Linked DNA regions of Mus musculus. The protein of the gene in region 1 purifies or fractionates together with the protein of each later gene. This does not show direct contact. Links are inferred from orthologs where the notes say so. Each region holds a gene or a part of one and is shown on either strand. Other genes may lie near its edges.

Evidence for each region.
Region 2: the proteins of Ift43 (region 1) and Tulp3 purify together in Homo sapiens (affinity purification with mass spectrometry; 5 studies listed by BioGRID and IntAct, counting the BioPlex papers as one, with this or other methods). This does not show direct contact. The link is inferred for Mus musculus from reciprocal best matches to the Homo sapiens genes IFT43 and TULP3.

Annotation. Positions count from the first base shown.
Region 1 is NC_000078.6:86,081,861-86,085,360, reverse strand, and holds the start of Ift43 (intraflagellar transport protein 43 homolog), read right to left. Parts: upstream 2,801-3,500; 5' UTR 2,775-2,800; coding exon 2,721-2,774; intron 268-2,720; coding exon 175-267; intron 1-174. UniProt on the Homo sapiens protein: As a component of IFT complex A (IFT-A), a complex required for retrograde ciliary transport and entry into cilia of G protein-coupled receptors (GPCRs), it is involved in ciliogenesis.
Region 2 is NC_000072.6:128,353,139-128,357,261, reverse strand, and holds the start of Tulp3 (tubby-related protein 3), read left to right. Parts: upstream 1-1,410; 5' UTR 1,411-1,483; coding exon 1,484-1,524; intron 1,525-4,123. UniProt on the Homo sapiens protein: Negative regulator of the Shh signaling transduction pathway: recruited to primary cilia via association with the IFT complex A (IFT-A) and is required for recruitment of G protein-coupled receptor GPR161 to cilia, a promoter of PKA-dependent basal repression machinery in Shh signaling.

The DNA.
Region 1 (3,500 bases):
CTCAAAGGAAAGATGTTCCCAGTAGGACAAATGTCCTCATGGGGAACTTCCAAATCAGGACACGTGGAGAGGCTGGCATTCCAAACAAATGTAGATACCACAACCCTGCTCATTAAGGGCTCATTTATTCTTAAAAGTCCACGACTTCCTGTTTCCTGTCTCGGCAGCACTCACCTCTCCAGTCTGAGTCAGTGAAGAATTCTTGCTGTTTAAGTAATTCTCAGCCTGAGTCGACTCCTGATGAGCCCGGCGTCCCATCTTGGCCCCCTAGAAGGAGAGATGGAGAGTACGGCTGATCCAGTGTCATCTGAGGCCCTGTGGGTACGACACACAGTAAGCCAGGACTGGGGTCTTATGGCGTGGCAGAGAACAGGATCTGAGTAACATAAATATGTTATATGAATATATATATATATCATATATATGATATATATGTGAATGCCACATGGATGTATCCCTAAACCCTTAGGAGAAAGTACCCAAGTCATTTCTATTTGGTAGAATTGGAAACATACAGGTTATTGATCATGAGATTTTCAACAGCCACAGATGCAGCAAAAACAAAGTCACTGTTCTGTCCATGACACATGGTTAGAAATGCAGCTAGCCTGGACAGAGAGACCTCAAGCCATATAGCTCCAAGCAGGTGGGTAAAGGCTCCCACATTCCTAAGCAGGACCTGAGACCGCTAACAGACAGGCGTTGAGAGAGAATCCTTCAATTCTATGGCAGTTGAGTAATCCAGACACCTCTTGCTCTGCTGGCTAGAGGCGCATCTACAGGCGCGGAGGGAGCCCCACCACAGGAATGCTGAGACGGCACCTTTGGATGCTAAGAACAAGCACCTCGGGGTTCTGAGTCAACAGATGAAACCTGTGCAGGTGTCCTCAGGCCCCCCAAGTGGGCAGGGGCTCTGTCTCCAACATTCCCCAGAACAAAAGAAAACTCTGAGGCACACGAGTGGGTGCTGACGAGTGTCTGTGCGACCATTTACTTAGCAAAGCCAAACCAAACCAGCATCGGCCTAGCATCTTCAGGTCTCATTATCGCGGCTGTGTTCCAGTCTCAAGATGGTATGAATGAACACGGAAACCAATGCCATTTTATTAAAAAGGAAACCAAGGCCCACGTTCCGATCAAAATCCTGTGTTCATCTTATATGTCCCATGACACCCCTCTGAAAACTAGATGCTAACTGTTCTAAGAAGGGAGACAAGGTTTTTAGGAGCCCCACATTAAACAAACAAACAAAACCCACTAAAGCGGATCTGGGCAATCCAATTTCAATCATCAACCTTTCAAGTTACGATGCAAATCTTTTCAAGTTTCAAGAGTGGTGGGAACAAGCTTGCTGATAATACAGCTCATTTCCTTCTCTAGAAAGGGACCCTCTTGGTCTGGAGAGATGGCTCAGTGGTTAAAAGCACTGACTGCTCTTCCAGAGGTCCTGAATTCAATTCCCAGCAACCACATGGTGGCTCACAACCATCTGTAATGGGGACCCTCTTCTGGTGTGTCTGAAAACAGCTACAGTGTGCTCAGATACATAAAATAAATAAATAAATCTTAAAAAGAGAGAGAGAGAGAAAGGCACCCTCCTTTGTTTATCCAAGTATCTGATCCTACAGTAGTTACCCTAAACAAAAATTAATGCTCCTGTGTGTGAATGTCGTTGGCAAGGGACTTCTCTAACAGACATTAAAGTTTAAGACTATTTGGAGATCCTGTACATTGACAACACAGAAAATCTGAGATCATGTATTTTTAAGGGCAGTCTTTTTATTGTCCTTCTCCCCTCGACTAGGGCAAAGGCCAGTGATGGTCTGTTCTGTGCTATCTATCTTTCCAGTGACTAGAACAATGCCTGATATACAGTTGGGCTTGCTACATATCTGTGGCAAGAATGAAAAAAGTCACTACATCCACATCCCGGGTACCCAAAAGGTTCATGTGTCAGAAAGACCTGGTGGCCTAATGTCCTTAGCTTTTTAAAAACTCTGCTCCATTCGAAACCAATTAGCGTCTGCCCCTTTTTATCTCCCTCCAACAGGTGCCTCTCTAACACCCTGGAGGGTATCAAGGCCCTTCAAAACACCTGAGATTTAACATCAGAAACTAAGGATTTGCCAGGTGGCCCAATCCTTCAGTGATCTCAACTCTAAAGGCTATTGAGACCTGGTGGGGATTGTGGCAGTAAGAAAACGCTGAATTGTAGGTCTTTAATCAAGTTCTATCTACTGGCTGGACGCCGGTCATAGGCTGGGAGGAAGCAACAGCGAAGGTCAGGAACAGAGGCAAAACACTTTCCACGAATTCCCCTTTCATCTGCACAGCAACAGTCTACTAGCATGGAAGTCGAGGCTAGGTGCATTCTGGTCCATCTACAGTCCGGTTACCTAGTTACTCCCTCTCCCCGCCACACACACACACAACTGGAGTATTGATTTCCAATCCTGGGGGAGCAGAGATTACAGAGAGCATGAGGAAAGGACATCTCCAGCCAGCTTTCTTCCCGGCCTTTCAGAACTTCCGGGACTAGACTTCCCGGGAGAAAACTCCAGGGAACGGGCGTGGTCGGGGCGGGGGCAGACCCTCCGCTAAGGTGGGATTCGCACTTAGGCGGTTGAGCCCGGATTTGTCCAGACTCCCAGCTTCTCAGAGAGCCGTGCCATTTGTCCCGCCCGCCTAACCGGACCCCAGCCCCCAGCATCGCTCCTCACGGAGGTGGCCGAGCTGCGACGTCTCTCCTCGCCCAGGTCCAGTAAATCGTCCATCGCCGCGGCAGCTGATGTCACTTCCTGGAAACCGGCGTCTCCGCCGCGTCCCTAACAACGACTCAGCCCTTCCATCCCAGTATTTAAAGAGTCCGCCTCACAAATCCTAGGTCCTGTGTGTCACCTTCCAGTTGAAACCAAATCTTGCCTACACCAACTTTGCTTGACTTCGGAGAAAACAAAACAAATTTCCAGCTAGCAAGATCCTCTAACATTGCTCCAAAGAGGTTAGCCCTGGGGACTGCCTACATTTGTAACTCTGATTAAACACATTTGTGATTGGAAGCGCTGCTCTTGGTGATTATCCTGAGCCCTCACATTCACAATGTACAAAGGTCTTCAGGGTTACTGTTCAAGGATAGATGTGCAGGGTTATTTCCATTTGACAGATGAGCACTAAGGTAATAAATAGTTTATAAAATTTACAATGACTGGCAAAAAAGCTGCGTATGTGATTTCTGCATTCAAGAAGTTTATTGAAAGTGGTCACACACCGTGATGCATGCCTGTAATTCCAACACTTGGGCGGTTAGAGGCAGGAAATTTTTAGTTTGATATCATCCTCAGCTATATAGTGAAATTTGGGACGCTAGGGCTAGATTACATGAAACGCTGTCTTTGAAAACAAAGTTTATATAGAGGCCAGATTAAAGTATTCAATCTTCAATCACTTTCGAAAGTATAGACCTAGCCAAGCGTGGTGACGGAGCCACAATCCCAGCTTGT
Region 2 (4,123 bases), on another chromosome or scaffold:
ACTGGAGAAAATCAAGAGAGAGCTCTGGTTTTTAATGGTTGACAGCCTTGGCTCAAAGGGTCCCAAGCCAGGCCTGTGTTGGTGAATACGATGGGGTCAGAGAGCTAGGGGACGGATGAGTACTTTAGGTTTGTGTTTTGAGATGTGTTTACAGTGGAAGAAATATGACGCTATCACATGTGGTGGAGAAATGGATTCCTATCAGTAACTTATCCTATGTGTACATAAAGTGGAAGCTCACACTCTAGTGTGGGTAGTGTGGATGTGCCTGTCTCAGTGGTCCTCTTACTCATTCAAATAGCATCTCTTTCAACCCTACTCATTTAGCACTAGCCCTTTCTAGACCAAGCAGAGCTTATGAGTGAAGATTTGTAGCACACACACACACACACACACAAAGGAGCAATCCAGAGTCCCACAGGGAGAGGGGCTAAGTGAGTGCAATGCTTTCCTAGCCTATGTGTGCAGGTATCATATTCCCTAGTTTTCAAAAATTAATTTCTGGGACCTGGAGAGGTGGCTCAGCAGTTATGAGCCCTGGATGCCCGGAGGCGCGAGTTCTATTCCCAGCACCCACATGGTGACTCACAACCATCTGTAACTCCAGTTCCGGGGTATCTGACAGCCTTGGGCACCAGGGATGCATATGATATGCAGACATACACATAGGTGAAACATACACATAATAGCCTAGGGCACGATGGCACATGCCTTTAATTCTAGCACTAGGGTGACAGAGGCAGTAGGATCTCAGAGTTCCAGACCAACCGAGGATAGTATAGTGAAATCCTGTCTCAAAATAAATACATTATTTTTTAAGTGAATTTTTGGATTCAACATCAGTGTGACTTTGGCCTTACTAATTAAGTTTATATGCTATAGTTCTGGTCATAAAGTCCTATAGGGACCAAAGCCACAAAGGCATTGATGGCTGGAGGCATGATTTACTGCAGAGAGGACAGCTTAGCTGCTACCCTCACTAAATAAGGACATTTGCTGAAGGTCCCCAGGTAGGGATCCCTCAGTCGGGCTTTGGGCAAAGGCTGGTTTGGGAGGCTGAAGGCCTCGGCTATCCCAGAGTCGGTGGTCAGATGCTGAGGCTTCAGGTGATAAAGAGTAGAAAACCCAAGGCAGCAGCCTGGATGTTCTCGGTGCCACAGAGGGGTGCTGGGGATCGCTCTGTGGGGGCCAGTCCCGGAGCGGTGGAATGGAGCAGCAGACTCTTCCGACCCAACCCCGGGGGGCTGCTCCCGGATCTAGCGCACGCGCCTTCGCCTCCCGGTGCCTCCCGCCCCCTGGAAACCCTCCAGCATCATGGCTAACGCCATTTGCCAGTGAGAGGGGAGCGTAGGGCACTGGACCAATGGGCGTCGGCGACAGTGCGGGGTGTGGTTGTCAGGGGCGGGGCCCGATCTCCTCCATCCTCTCCAGCCGGGCGGCGGCGTCTCGGGGTCTGGACGCTGATGCCACCGGTCGGGCGGGTATGGAGGCGGCGCGCTGCGCACCCGGACCCCGCGGGGACAGGTCAGGCGGCGGTGGGGCGGGCTGGGGTCTCCAGGGTGGGCGGGCAAGAGCGGAGGCCAAGATCGGGTCCCCAGCTGAGCAGGCGCTTTGCACACCCCGCGTCGCCAGAGCGCTCTCGCGTCTCTTTCCTGGAATTTACCCCGAACCTGCTCACCCTACTCCCCAAGGGCCTCCGATTCCCTCATTTGCAATGCGCTGTGCATCCCGTGCCGCCAGCACTCTTGAGCCGCTCCCCTGGAGTTTACCCTGGACCAGCTCGCCCTGCTCCCCTGGGGTCTCGATTCCCTTACTTGCAATGCGTTCGCCCTCCCCCATGTCTTTCACGAGTAGGATCAGAACTGAGCTGGAAGGAGGGCACTCTTGGGAGTCGACGCGGAAGGTCGCGAGTGATGGTTAATTGGTTCCAAGGCCGTTGCATTTGGCAGTCATTGCGGAATTCTGGAACGAGTCCGAGAGCTGAAAATGCAAAACTGTTCTTTTCTTCTTTCTTCCTTCCCCTGAGTTCTAGCAGTTCTTTCAATCAGGACTTAGTTTAGACTGATCCGTACTCTTGCTCGTGCCCCTGGCTTTTCTACCAATACCCCTCTTTTTGCCTGGTTCACATGGTGAGCTTGGAAAGACAAACGGGCTGCAATCTCAGCCTGTTCATTTCTTGTCAGCTAGGCTAACGAAAAGTTAATGGGGGGCCGTGTGAAATCACTGGCTCAAAACTTTGGCATGGTGTGAGGATTAAAATCAAACACGCCAACTACATTCTTCCTTTACCATTCCATTACCACAGCGATAAAGGCTTGGCGTGTTAGGATTTGGTCTGACGTTTAAACTGGTTTTTAACTGATCCGAAACCATATTTTACAAAGTTATAAAGACGGAATAGCGACCCCCCCACCCCCCGTGGGTCCCATCCAGACTAGGCTTCCCTGAAACTTAATAATAAGTTAATAAGGAGGACTTTGAACATTTGCCCCCTACCTCTGCCTCCCAAGGCGTCACCTGTTTTAATCTTTCATCAACTAAATTCTATAAACATGATAGCTGCTCTCTGAAATTTGTTTACAACTTCTCCATTTTGGGAACCGAAGATCCATTTACAAGGGTAAGGTCGGGGTAGGAAAGTTAGAATTCAGCGTGTATCCGGTTGAAATCAAATGATATCGCGTTCAGTTGAGGGATTTAGTTGTTAACGAAATGATTTTTAGAGAAGTAAATTTCTTAGGGATGTGATTTTATTTTTATTTTATTTTTTGAGATAGGTCTTATGAAGCAAGACTGAAACTCGATATTCAAACCAGGTTAGCCTCAAACTCATACAGACCCATCTGACTCTGCCTTCCATGACTCATGATTTTAGGGAACAAGGACTTGACTTTGAAACTGGGACCAGCTGGCAGGTTTTTGTTTTGTTTTGTTTTCATCTCCTGGACTTGAAGCTTTAAGCTTTAATGCCTCCTCCCCCACCTTTTCTTCCAAAGAAAGAAATCGACTCTTTAATTTCCAGTTGATTGACAGGAAAGGAGCCCGTGGGAGCCCCTAGTTTCTCCTGCCCTAGGAAGAGCATGCAGGTTTGTTGCTAAAAGCCAGTGACTGCCTTGCTTTTGGGGTAGTCATTAAGAGTGTTTTGAGAGAGACTTCGAGACTGACTTGACTGAAAGTCAGTATAATCCAGTGGTCCAGGCTAGCCACAAACTCAAAATCTTCCCTGCCTGAGCCTCCCAAGTGTCTCCTGTAGGCATGTATCACCAAACCTGGGTGGACTTGTGTGCTAGGTGTCTTCTCTCTCCCCCTCTCTCTTTGTCTCTCCCCCGCTCTCTCTTAAATTTGAAATTTTCTTTACATTCTGACCAGAGTTCTCCCTCCTCCTCTCCTCCTCCCAGTATTCCCCCCCCCCATCCACTCCTCCCTTTCTCTCCTCCCATGGATGCCAACCAGCCATGGCATATCGAGTTGCATTAAGACTAGGCACCTCCTCTACTTTTAAGGCTGGAGGAGGCATCCCAAGAGGAAGAAAGGATCCCTAAATCAGGTAACAAGAGTCAGACCCAGGGGGCTGGTGAGATGGCTCAGTGGTTAAGAGCACTGACTGCTCTTCTGAAGGTCCTGAGTTCAAATCCCAGCAACCACATGGTGGCTCACAACCATCCGTAACGAGATATGACTCCCTCTTCTGGTGTGTCTTTAGACAGCTACAGGGTACTCACATATAATAAATAAATAATAAAAAAATTAAAAAAAAAAGAGTCAGACCCAGCCCCTGCTCCCACTGTTAAGTAGACCAAGATACACAACTGTAACATGTGCAGCGAGCCTAGGTTGGTCCCGTGCAGGTTCCCTGGTTGGGGGTTCATTCTCTGTGAGCCCCTATGAACCTAGGTTAGTTGATTCTGTTGGTTTTCTTGTGGTGTTCTTGACCTCTCTGGCTTCTTCAATCCTTCCTCTCTTCCACAGGATCCCCTAAGCTCCACCTAATGTTTGGCTGTGGTCTCTGCATCTGTTTCCATCAGTTGCTAGGTGAAGCCTCTCTGATGGTGGTTATGCTAGGCACCTGTCTGCAAGTACAGCAAACAGAATGTCATTAACAGTTTCAGGGGTGATCTCTCTT